3 linked regions of the Astyanax mexicanus genome follow. The protein of the gene in region 2 purifies or fractionates together with the protein of the main gene of each other region. This does not show direct contact. Links are inferred from orthologs where the notes say so. Each region holds a gene or a part of one and is shown on either strand. Other genes may lie near its edges.

Region 1 (4,033 bases), on a different chromosome or scaffold from region 2:
CTCCCAATAGATCGTCATAGAGGAATGACAGACTGCTCCACACATGTATTAATATTTTTTTTATATTGTGACGACTTATGAGTTATAATTATTGCACGGTAATGCCTGATGACTGACAAACCTGAAAATAAAACAGCTTAAAAACAAAACCACAGACCTCAGGCTGGAGTCTCAGGGTCAGATTGAAAGTTATGAACAGAAAAGGACAGTGTAAACAGGACGGGGCGGCCTGCTCTTCTTGGGGTGTTTTGTATTGCATTTGAATTGCGGAGAGACAGCTGAGCCCACACTCAAACAGGCCTGTGGGACAATAGGACTTCCAAGGACAAATATAGTAAAATATGTTTTACAAAACAATAAAAGAAACAAATAGGTTAGTATAGTCTGCAAATGTACTATTTCACAAACAGACAGTTTCTCACTAAACAAATAGCACTGTGCTTAAAAAAAAAAACTCTTCAGTGAACAATGGAACAATACGGTGTGTTCCTTCATACTGATATCAGTGAAAAAGAAATGAGCAGTCTGATTACAGTGCATTTAGTTTACAGCAGAGTTAGTAATATACTGTACATAAATTAGACTATGTACATAGTTACTTAGATATCAAATTTTACTTTTTACTGGATGAGAATATGCTGTAAAATATGACACGACATGAAGGCGTAAAATAAAACTTTATAAATGTGAATACAATGCTAATATATACATATGTAAGTGATTACAATATTTAAGCCAAAGGATACATTTATTGGGAATAGTATGCAATTGAAATGAGGCTGCATTATGCTGTAGGGCAACATTTAGCCTAAATACAAGTTGAGATACGAGATCGTAGTATTTTGAGGGAAATAATGTAGTTCTAACTGCTTGGGCTGCAGTTTATGAAAGAGAGCATGGAGGGAGGAAAAGGAGAATTTTCCACTCATGATCTGTTAAAGGGCTGCTGTGATTGCCATCAGTTATCTACATTTCTAACCTGCTGATTATTAATGCTCTAGTGTTACAAATAGATAATATAGTGTTCCCGCTATCGGGAAACGTTACTTAGCGGGACTTCCCCCTACATTTTATCTTAGTTTTTGTGACCAAAAAAACACACAGTAAATACCAGTTGTGAATATAGGAAATAAGGGATGACTGTTTGTATGTTACATTTAAGGTGGAACGGAAATCTGAATAAGACAAATACAAGCGCTATTTGTTTTTGGTATTATATTCAAAAACGTTTTTTTTTCTATTAAAAAAATCAAATGAACAAATGATACACAGATTAAAAACTTACTGTGAGAGAGAGAGAGAGAGAGAGAGAGTATAGGGAAAAAAGAGAATTAGGGAAAAGAGAAAGAGATAGAAAAAGAGAGAGAGTATGGTGGAAAAAAGAGAGAGAATTAGGAAAAAAGAAAGAGAATTAGGGAAAAGAGAAAGAGAGAGAGTGGGAAAAAGAGAGAGCGATTTAGGGAAAAGAGAAACAGAGAGAGTTATTGTGGGAAAAAAAGAGAGAGAGAATTAGGGAAAGGGAAAGGGAGAGAGGGAGAGAGTGTGTGTGGATGAGTAAGAGGGAGAGAGTGGGAGAGTGAGGGAGAGAGAGAGAGGGAGAGAGTGGGAGAGTGAGGGAGAGAGAGAGAGGGAGAGAGTGGGTGAGGGAGGGAGAGAGAGAGAGAGAGCCGGATCTATCCGTCGCCATTACCGACTGGAATGAGAGGGGAGGGAGTCGGGCTCGGATTACACACACAGCTTCACCAGATCCTGTAAAAATCGGTTAAAACACAGTTTTTAACGGCACTATCGCGGATTGTTCTCTTCGCCTGAACACTCGGAGTATCCGGAGATCTTTTCCCGGGCGGCTCTGAGGGGAGAGAGCGGGAATATCGGGAATGCCTCCTCCTCTGTGTGGAGCCTGTGGGAGCTGGGAGCGACCATGTTAGGTAGGGGAATGCGTTTGGAGGAGTGTCGTGACTTTTCCCACTGTGTTTCTCTCTGATTTGGGCCGTTCGAGTTCGGAGGAGTACCGAAACCGCGGGATTTCTGTGTTTCTGGCTGATTTTACCTCAGATTCTCTTTATTAGCCTGCAAGCTAACTAGCCTAGCTAATATACTCAGCGCAGGGACACTTAGCCAGGCGGCTAGCGCTAGGTTAGCTATGTTAGGTTAGCTGGACGGCTAGCGTTGGGTTAGCTAGGGAGCTAACACACACACACACACACACACACACACACACACACACACACACACACACACACACACAGAGGAAGCGTTGTCCAGGCTAAAGGCCTGTATCTAGGATGTAAGTTAGTTAGCTCCATATTCCAGTATCCAGCTTTAACAAACAACTAATTAGCTAGCTACCAAGCTAAAAACAAATTTTAAAATATAATATTTATTTTTTAAATATCCATCTCCGTCCTTAACGAAATATAAGTGTCCTAAACGAGTGAGTTAAAGCCCATCTATCTGGTCGGAGGTGTGGTGTTTCACAAAGTACAGCTCTGGAAAAAAAATGAGAGACCACTTAAATTTTTTTTTACCAAATTAAAAACCTCTGGAATATAATCAAGAGGAAGATGGATGATCACAAACCATCAAACCACCAAACTGAACTGCTTGAATTTTTGCACCAGGAGTAAAGCAGCATAAAGTTATCCAAAAGCAGTGTGTAAGACTGGTGGAGGAGTAACGTTACATGATGCCAAGATGCATGAAAAAAGCTGTGATTAAAAACCAGGGTTATTCCACCAAATATTGATTTATAAACTCTTAAAACTTTATGAATATGAACTTGTTTTCTTTGCCTTATTTGAGGTCTGATAGTGTAATAAAACTCAATTGGTAGCTAGTTAGATAGCTTGTCATTCTAATATGACTCGTTAGAATGACTTTATAGATCTGTAGAACTAATTATATTACTTGTAAACACATTTCATAACCAACATCTTGTGGGTGGTTGGTGTAGCGCAGAGAATAATACCACCGCCTGATTGTGAGCTACCACATAATGTGGGAGATTGAGGTTCAGTTCCTTGGGCAAGACTCCTAATACCACATTGATGCGCATTAGAGGGCAAGTGATACAAAAAAGGTTTTATTTCAAAAAGTAAGAAAGGAAAAAATAAAATATAGATATATAATGATCAAGAAATACCTTAAATTCTGAATTGTGAATTAATTTATTGGCTAAATTATGTTATAGAAACACTCAGCCATACATAAAGTTACATAGAAAATGTAGCCATAGACCCAAAGATTTACAAGCACTACAAAAATGGATCAATACAGCTAAGTAGAGAGTTGTATTTAGTTAGCTAATGCTAGCTAATTAGCAGAGGTTTCAGTTTTGACTATTGAGTATTGCAACACGCTCCATCCTAAATGATTAACTAAGCTAACTTACAGGTCCTCCTGGTTTTTATGACAATAACTATAATAGTGTAGTCATCGAGGAAACATCTCACAGAGTCTCCTGTAGTGGTTTTATGACTGTTATCAAATAGGTGTGTTTCTCTGCCTCTCCTGTGATATTGCTCCCATTAATCCAGTGCTCTTCACTGGAGGTCACTGTGCTGCACCATTTAATGTTGCCTCTGCAGCCCAACACACCCTGAAACACTAAACCGTGGCTTGGCTTTATTCAGGACTGAGTCTAAAAACCCTCAGAACAGCATGTTTTGTCTAAAATCCAGGCATCGTTTTTTAAACCTAGGGATACAAGCTAACTGATTCAAAGCATATGTACATCAGCCAATACAGCAGAGTATTGCCTTTTCTTTAGCTGAATGTGGTCACCTTTTCTGCCCACTCTGGTGCCTCTTTACTGAATAATAATCATGCTTTCTTTGCTTCAATTGTGTTCAGAAGACACTGCACTGATGATGCCATTGTCTCACATTTTTCACATTATGTAATTTTTTCAGTAAACTTTTGCATGAATTACTTTTTTTTAAATCTACAATTCTATCTGATCCTATTCTGCCTCTATCCAGTAAATAAATCTGTCACCTGTAATTGCTTATATCTTGAACTAGGGGTGTGCCAT
Region 2 (4,033 bases):
TATGTAGTTTGGAGTGCCACACAGGGTCTTCTTCCGCTCACCATCAAATTCAATCTTAGTGGCCAGACCAAAATCACCTTGGGAGAGAACAAAGCGTTATAGGATAAAGTAACGAGTAAAGTCGAACTGTACTTTAGGCAAAAAGTTGTGAGCAAATTTGCCTGCTTACCAATCTTCACCTCCATATCATCGCTAAGAAAAAGATTTCCAAGTTTAAGATCACGATGAATAACTCTGTTGTTGTGCAAGTAGTGAACTCCCTGGATTGTCTGCCGCATGAAGTACCTTGCTTCAGGCTCAGTCACTGCCTTCCTGCGCTTGTGCAGCTCCAGAAGAGACTAACAGAAGAACAATGGAAGGGGAAAAAAATATTAAAATAATAAAATAATTATCAGCAAAGAAGCAGCATAGGGACACTGCTGTAGGGCTATTACAAAAAGCTTGTTGATAGTGTTAACGTTTTTGCTTACTTAAAGATAAATATAATCCTGACAATAAAACTTGTCGTGTTACAAACTTGCAGCTTTAGGGGATATGGAAATTGACAAAACTATGTTTTACACCTTCAAACTGCAAAAATAAAATAACCTAATGTCATTTCTCTCCATGTTTCTAAAAGAAAAAAGAAATTAAACATGTCAAAAGTGTCTAATAGGTCAAGGCTGTGCCCCAGCCAGTTGCTGCATCTACAGCAAAACTGGAAACGTTCATAAATGCATTACTGTAAAAACTAAACACTTTATTTAAAAAATACCCTACCACTGCATGAGTTACACAGCCTAAATGTATTTTTACATGCATCTAAAGAAAATACAATTACAAAACTATAATAACAAAAAAAAAAATCAAAAAGCTCTACTGTGTAGGGCTAAATTACTTAAAAAAACTTTGAGCTGAGGCATTTCTTAGCTCGAAATAGATACTCCATACATAAATGGAAACAGATTTGTAGACCATGACTTTCAAAATTCTCTTTAGTATTCCAAAACTAATTTAGGTCTGGAAACTGATATTTAAGTTTTTTCCAGGTTTTTCATGACCATACAATCCCTGCACAAAGATGGTGATTTTTTTTTACATTTTACTAAATTACAATGCGACTTAAAGTTCAACTTCGACTCCACCACAACAGCAAATATATATAACTCAATATATCTAGGTTAGTTAAAAACATAATAAATAGGAAGAACAGATAAGTTAGCTAATAAAAAGGAGAAAACACCAGCAGGAAACACCAACAAGACAAAAGTATTTCATATAGCATTTATAATATGCTGTATTATAAATACTTCTCAAGTGGAAACTTGAGCATTATTTACTATATTTAACGATTTTGACGGGCGAAAAAAAAGTTCACGAAAATTTTCAAACATCTCGGTCGAGGTTCTGACGTCACATCCTCACATTTAAAATCCACATCTCGGAAAGGAGGCTCGGATACAGCCGGTCAAAACGGTTCTTAAAAACACCCACAAACACTTTAACCCCACTTACAGACACCAATTTCTCACTGTTATAATATTCATGACATTTAAACTTTACAGTAGTGAGGTTTCACACCTCTCAGAGCTAACAAACAGTTAGCTAACCGGCTAATGCTAACTAACCCTCACTGAGGAATTCGACCGTTGGTGAGGACTGAGAGACAGCTAACTTAAGCTAGGTTTGATAGATTAGCCAGTTTGCTAGTGAAGCTAGCCTCAGTTATTACGTGTTTCTAAAGCTTTAAAAAATCACTTTATATTTTACTCCCACTCAGCTAAACTAAGCGAGGATAACTCACCCTCCTCCTGCAGATCTCCAGCACCACGAACACGAAGTCGTCGTCCTCGAAGAAGCCGTGAAAGCCCACGACGTGCGGGTTGTCGAGGCTCTTGTGGATCGCGATCTCCGTGCTCATCTTCTCCTTCTGGTGCGGCTTCATCAGCAGAGACTTGGGCACCACTTTACCGGCGAACACCTCCTTCGTCTCCATGTCTGTGATCTCGTAGCACTTAGCGAAGCCGCCTTTCCCGAGGAACCGGCCCCGCATGTAGCGCTTCATGGTCCGCGGATCCACCAGGATGTCTGGGATCTCTTTCAGGGGCGCAGACTTCGGGTCTACGTTGACCGAAGGCTTCGGCGCCTTCGCCACTGCAGCGCTCATACTGAATACGCTCTCAAAATAACGCTAATTTAAAGAGAAACACGAACAAAACACGGATCTCTGCGACACTGCTAACAGAAAACAGCGAGTTCAGACCCGGACAGACAGGGCGAGCCGCCCGGCCGAGCAATTCGAATAAAAACTAACCGAACTAAGCGCGCCTGAACCGGTTTAACACACAAGCCAGCACAAATCCACTCGGGTACACCAGTTTCTGTTAATGTAAGCGGGGTATTTTAAACAGAAACTCGCTAAATTGTCCGCCTGTCCGCTTCTTCTCTCTACAACCCCCGTCCCCGCTCAGCGTCTCTCAGCGCAGCACCAACACAACATTTTTAAATTCGGCCCTTATTCGTTATCGCCGCCTCTGATTGGCTCTCGCCGGAGCACCGCCTCTGATTGGCTGTGGCCACGGACCCGCCTGTGATTGGCTCTCGCGATTTGAAATCCAGGCGATAGCGGCAAAGGATCATGGGAGATGTGCTGCTTTAAAATGTGTCGTATATTAAAGTCCTCAGGGCTCGAAAGCTAACAGTTGTTTACATTCATTAAAATAAGGTTTTGTATATATGTGTTAAACATCATATAGTATTCTTTAACTGTGTCCATTCAAATATTTTTAGAAATGATCCCATTTAGGATATGGGTCAAAACTAAACACTATAAAATATATAATTTTATTGTCCATTTTGTATTTTATTTTATTATAATGACTGCAGTAAGGATACTTGCTACTTGTTTTATCTATTCATTTAAATTGGAAAAAAAATATTTTATCCATGAAATGAAATTGACAACTATGATTTTCACTTTTATGTCTGTTCAGTTATATATATTTAAATATTACACATTTAAAATGTGTTATTATTAAAATGTATATGTATATATATATATAGTTTTTTGAAAACGTGTGCTGTATTTGTAACATATTTTGGTTGTAACTTTTGTCTGTCAATGAATAAACAGACATAATAAGAACACAGTATAACACATAAACCATACAATATTTATTGATACAATAAAATAACTTTTAACTTTTTTTTAATTATTGATAATTTTTTAAAGATTAGTTTTGTTTACTTAAAGATAAATAGACCATAATCAATAGCAAAACAAAAAGAAGAAAAAAGTAATATTTATAATTTTACATTTATGTACATAAATGGCCATTTAAAATTTTTAGAATAATAAAATTATTATTATTATATTCTTGAAATCACATGCATGGAATGATGATGTGTGCCATACTGTCGTCTAAACAGAACCTCAGGATTAGGTTAATCTTAGAGAGAGAGAGAGAGAGAGAGAGTTAGGAATAATCTGTGTTCTTACTTACTTACTTACACTGTAGGAAAACCCAGTCCAGAACGAACAGATACACATGCTATTAACAAATATTCAGAAGAAAATAATACATTAACTTAAGCTGTAAACTGTGCATGAAAAAGAGAGAGTTGCCAGGTCTTTTTCTACAGTTGATGACATGTTAGCGGCATTTGTGCTAGCTTTGATAGCTCTTAATCTTCTACAAGAGGGAAGTGTTTGAAGGAGGGGGTCACCAGGACAAGAGGGGACAGATATAATCTTGCAAGTGCACTTCTTGACCTTGCTGATATCTTAATACTGAAGTTTTGGCAGAATACACCCAGCCATCCTCTCTGCTATACTGATAATGCACTGGAATGTGTCTCATTCTAGTAAAGAGGATTTAATGAATGAATGAACATGATGTGAAAATAAATATGATGATGGCTATGTAGGGATGGGTCCTTAGGGTCTGTGGCAAGTGGAATTTGCTCAGGCTGTCTCACAAAGCTGCGCTCTGGAGACCATGTTCCATCCCCCTTCAGGTCCTTGAAGAGGGTGATGCCCAGACACTTATGTAAA
Region 3 (4,033 bases), on a different chromosome or scaffold from region 2:
GTGATGGAAATCATTAGAGCTGCGTCGAGAATAGAACATAATCCACCACATCGCTCTGAGTTTACTGCACTACAGTTCTTTATACTTTCAAATCAGCACTGTATAGTGGAATATTTTGTGTGTTTAAACTGAGATGTAAACACCAGGGTGATGGTCTGCATGTGTGCAGAGAATAAAAGGAAACAGAACCATCAGTATCTGATCAGTTGGGATCTCTATAGAAAATGTACATTAAATGGATAAACGTAATGACCCATCTGCTCCCAATATTCTTAAAAAGAGTATTAAATAGAGTTGAGTTTATCCTGCTTTTGTTGGAGTAATTGTCGAGGGAAGGCTTAATTCTAGATTTGAGGCATCATAGTTGTGAGGATTTGATTGCCTTGAGCAATGAGGTAAGCATACATGAGGTCAGGATGCTTAATGACCTCCACTGCACCCCATTCCCAACAACCCAGCTCATCCTATCCAGAGATAGGATTATGGTCTCAGAAATGATTGTTTATTAATTGTAAAGAGAATATTCTATAATATGTATACAAATAAATGGTTAAATACCCAACATAAATAAACATGTAAAAATAGTTTGAGGTTATGTTCATATACTGCACAATATATCGATAATATAATTATTGTGGCAGGCCTACCTGGCATTAGGCATGGTGTTCTGTTTCTAATACATCTTTTCTGATGTATCCGTTATTGCAAGATTGGTTTAAAATGTTGGTAAAATTCATTTATACGTTCACATTTTTTGGGGTCATGTACATGTATGTTTGTTTGATAAATCATAAATCGATAAAATAAATATGATGACAGGCCTACTTCTTCTTTACATGGCCCAAACAAGCTACAGTATCTCATGTCTCCAGACCTAAACCCTATTGAGCATCTGTGGGGCATCCTCATATGGAAGGCAGAGGAGCACAATGTCTTTAAGTCCACAATCTTTGTGATTTTTAATGGATTTTAAAGTGGAAAAGGATTTCAGTGGCAACATGTGAAGCTCTAGTGAACTCCATGACAAAGAGTGTTAAGGCAGTGCTGGAAAATAACAGTGGCCACACAAAATATTCACATTTTGTGCACAATATTCACTTCGGTTCATTTTCATTTAGGGGTGTACCCACTATTGGTTCCAGCTGTTTAGACATTAATGTGGTAGACATTAATTTAGACAGTGTGGTGAGGTATTTTGAGGGCACTGAAAATTTACTCTATTGTACAATAGGGGTGGGCGATATGGCTCTAAGATAATATCACAATATTTCAAAGTGTTTTTGCGATAGCGATATACTTGGCGATATAGGAAAACTAAAATAATTCATTTATTTTAGGAATATAGTATAATAGTATAACAGTATAATCATAATGTGGCAACGTAAATAATATAGCATAAAATAATATAATGCAGCAAAAAATACTGCAGAATATTTAGTGCATGCATATAAACTGCAAACTAAAACAATTATACAATAAATAAACCTAAAGCTTCACAGTAAATAATAGACTACTTTTAAGACAGAACAGCCCTATTATCACGATATGGATTTTTAATGTCATGATATTTCTGTGTCACGATATAATATTGCCCACCCCTAGTACTCAGTACACTGACTACTTTACATTGTATCAAAGTGTCATCTTTAGCTGTGTTCCATTAAAAGATATAATAAAAATAGTTACCAAAAATGTGGGAGGTGTACTCACTTTTGTGAGATACTGTATGTGTGAGTGAATTTGCACATATGTGTCAGCAATAGGTGCTAACATGCATTCATTAGAAATAATGTGTCCATAAACATTTAGACACTAGACACTATTATTGCAAATAAGAATACATTCTTAATGACTGGCCTGGTTAAATTAAAGGTTAAATAATAAAACTATTAATTAAATAAATAAATAAATAAATAATAGTTAAATATGTACAAATAACATATACTGCATAGTTATACGGCTAGTGGAGACAAAACCACTGACTAGCCTTACTGTGAGGAAACTTCACCAAACCAATACCCCTATTCAGAACACAAATCTGATTTACTTTACACACACACACACACACACACACACACACACACACACACACACACACACACACACAAACACACACACAAACACAAAGCAAGAGAAAACTAAAAGAATTGGACACGAACCACATAAACAATTATTTTAAGCAAATAATTCCCATCCTAAAGCTATATTCTCTCCTCCACAAACACATTAATCCAGTTTTTCTATTATAATCTCTGAACTGCATCGTTCTTATGATAATTAGTTTTAATGTGTTTCCCAGCTCTGCACCACAAAGTTACGGGCTCGAGCTCCTCCACAAAAACACGCGAGATTTCAATCAGCGATCATAAACTACGCTGTTAAAGATCTAAACTCAGCTCAAATCACTTTAAACGCATTAAATAATAAACAAATAATACGGTTTTTAAAGTTTAAACAGCTTTTACCTTTCCTCTCGCCGTCCTGCTGTGTTTCTCCAGCTCCTCGACTGCGGCTGCAGAGAGACGCACACACTGCCGCTCTCTGATTGGACGGTGGCGGGCAGATCTCGTCCCCTATTGGCTGAGAGTCTCATAAAGGCGTTTGTCCTGCATTGGGCAACAGGTCATTCCCCTCTGAATTCTGATTGGCTGAGGGATATTTTAAATCAGTGCGATCATTGGATATAGCTGACGATTGTTTTTGTGCTCTATTTGAGTTTAATTAAAAGGAGAAATTGTGAGTTAAATGTATTATTTAATTATATAAAATACATAAATACAATATGAAGAAAAACGTTTCTCTATATATAAATTATTGTAAAGTTAATAAATTATTGATTTCTATTTTAGTTATTTATTTTTATCTATATAATATTTTTATTATTATTTATTCTGATGGATATTTTATTTCACTTTTTATAATAGTAAAATAGTAACCTTTTTAAATTGAGTGCACCTTAGGACACCTTCCTTATACAATTATTTAACAATCAATAAGTTATTCAGGAAACGCAAAAAAAACATTTTAACATTTAAAAAATGTCGAATTTCTAATATTGTCAAGCATTCTAGCTAGCTTTATAGATTTTAAAGTCAGCTATTTTGATACTAAAATGCAGAAATATAATAAAACTTAATAATAAGACTAAACAACTATGCAATATTTATTATATTTATAGCCTGTAGCCTTTACTAATAAAAAGTAAACTATGTATTATAATGTAGATCTTATAACTTATCAAATGGGGACGAGCCCTGAATCGTGGAAATTAGTTCAGTAAAGGTAGCTCCATCCTGGAAAGCTATTAAAATTGCTATTAAACATCACATTTTAATTTGATTTAGGCATAATAAATAATAATCACACTTTTGACATAGGCCATTATCCTAAAGGGGTTGAATCAACTGAGGGTGTAGGAGATTTTACCATAGGTGGACTACATTATGAGGAGATGATTTAGACAAAAAGTCAATTTTGCAAAAAAAAAAAAAAAAGACTTGCCGATTATTTTAGGATGGTGCTGTATCGCTGATGTAGATCAACAAATTTGACAAATTTAAATTAGTTGTTGTGTTTTTTAGCTTTCATTTTCTTCCATGAGGGTCCCCGCTCAATGTAAACAAACTTAAAAAAAGAATGATGATAATGAAGTTGCACATACACACCACACACTTTATCGAGCCCCTGTAGAGACAAATGGCAAACATGAACCTTTTGGCATAATGATTAAAGCCAGGAATTAACCCTCTAGTATGCCAAAAGTCATGGAACACAAGTTTGTGAGTCTTCTATGGTGTATTCCCGCTACACATGTGACACTGTGGATGGTGGAATGTTAAATTCCTGCACTTCAAACTTCAGAAATGGAACGTCCAGTCCATCTGCACCCACTATCAGATCTCACTTCAACTCCCATAATTCAGCTGACCTTAACATGAGCATGTAAGCCAGTGTTCAATCAACCTCACTCACAAGACAACACCTCACAACATATACAGGTGTGGGTGCTCCCAAGTCATGGGATTACCTTGGG

The links. The genes of interacting proteins can lie anywhere in the genome.
Region 1: the proteins of plk1 (region 2) and arhgap5 purify together in Homo sapiens (affinity purification with mass spectrometry; 3 studies listed by BioGRID and IntAct, counting the BioPlex papers as one, with this or other methods). This does not show direct contact. The link is inferred for Astyanax mexicanus from reciprocal best matches to the Homo sapiens genes PLK1 and ARHGAP5.
Region 3: the proteins of plk1 (region 2) and farp2 purify together in Homo sapiens (affinity purification with mass spectrometry; 3 studies listed by BioGRID and IntAct, with this or other methods). This does not show direct contact. The link is inferred for Astyanax mexicanus from reciprocal best matches to the Homo sapiens genes PLK1 and FARP2.

What each region holds. Positions count from the first base shown.
Region 1 is NC_064421.1:48,490,420-48,494,452, reverse strand, and holds the start of arhgap5 (rho GTPase-activating protein 5), read left to right. Parts: upstream 1-1,666; 5' UTR 1,667-1,928; intron 1,929-4,033. UniProt on the Homo sapiens protein: GTPase-activating protein for Rho family members.
Region 2 is NC_064428.1:16,135,479-16,139,511, forward strand, and holds the start of plk1 (serine/threonine-protein kinase PLK1), read right to left. Parts: upstream 2,477-4,033; 5' UTR 2,147-2,476; coding exon 1,784-2,146; intron 339-1,783; coding exon 170-338; intron 78-169; coding exon 1-77. UniProt on the Homo sapiens protein: Serine/threonine-protein kinase that performs several important functions throughout M phase of the cell cycle, including the regulation of centrosome maturation and spindle assembly, the removal of cohesins from chromosome arms, the inactivation of anaphase-promoting complex/cyclosome (APC/C) inhibitors, and the regulation of mitotic exit and cytokinesis.
Region 3 is NC_064412.1:49,190,307-49,194,339, forward strand, and holds the start of farp2 (FERM, ARHGEF and pleckstrin domain-containing protein 2), read right to left. Parts: upstream 2,556-4,033; 5' UTR 2,466-2,555; intron 1-2,465. UniProt on the Homo sapiens protein: Functions as a guanine nucleotide exchange factor that activates RAC1. May have relatively low activity. Plays a role in the response to class 3 semaphorins and remodeling of the actin cytoskeleton.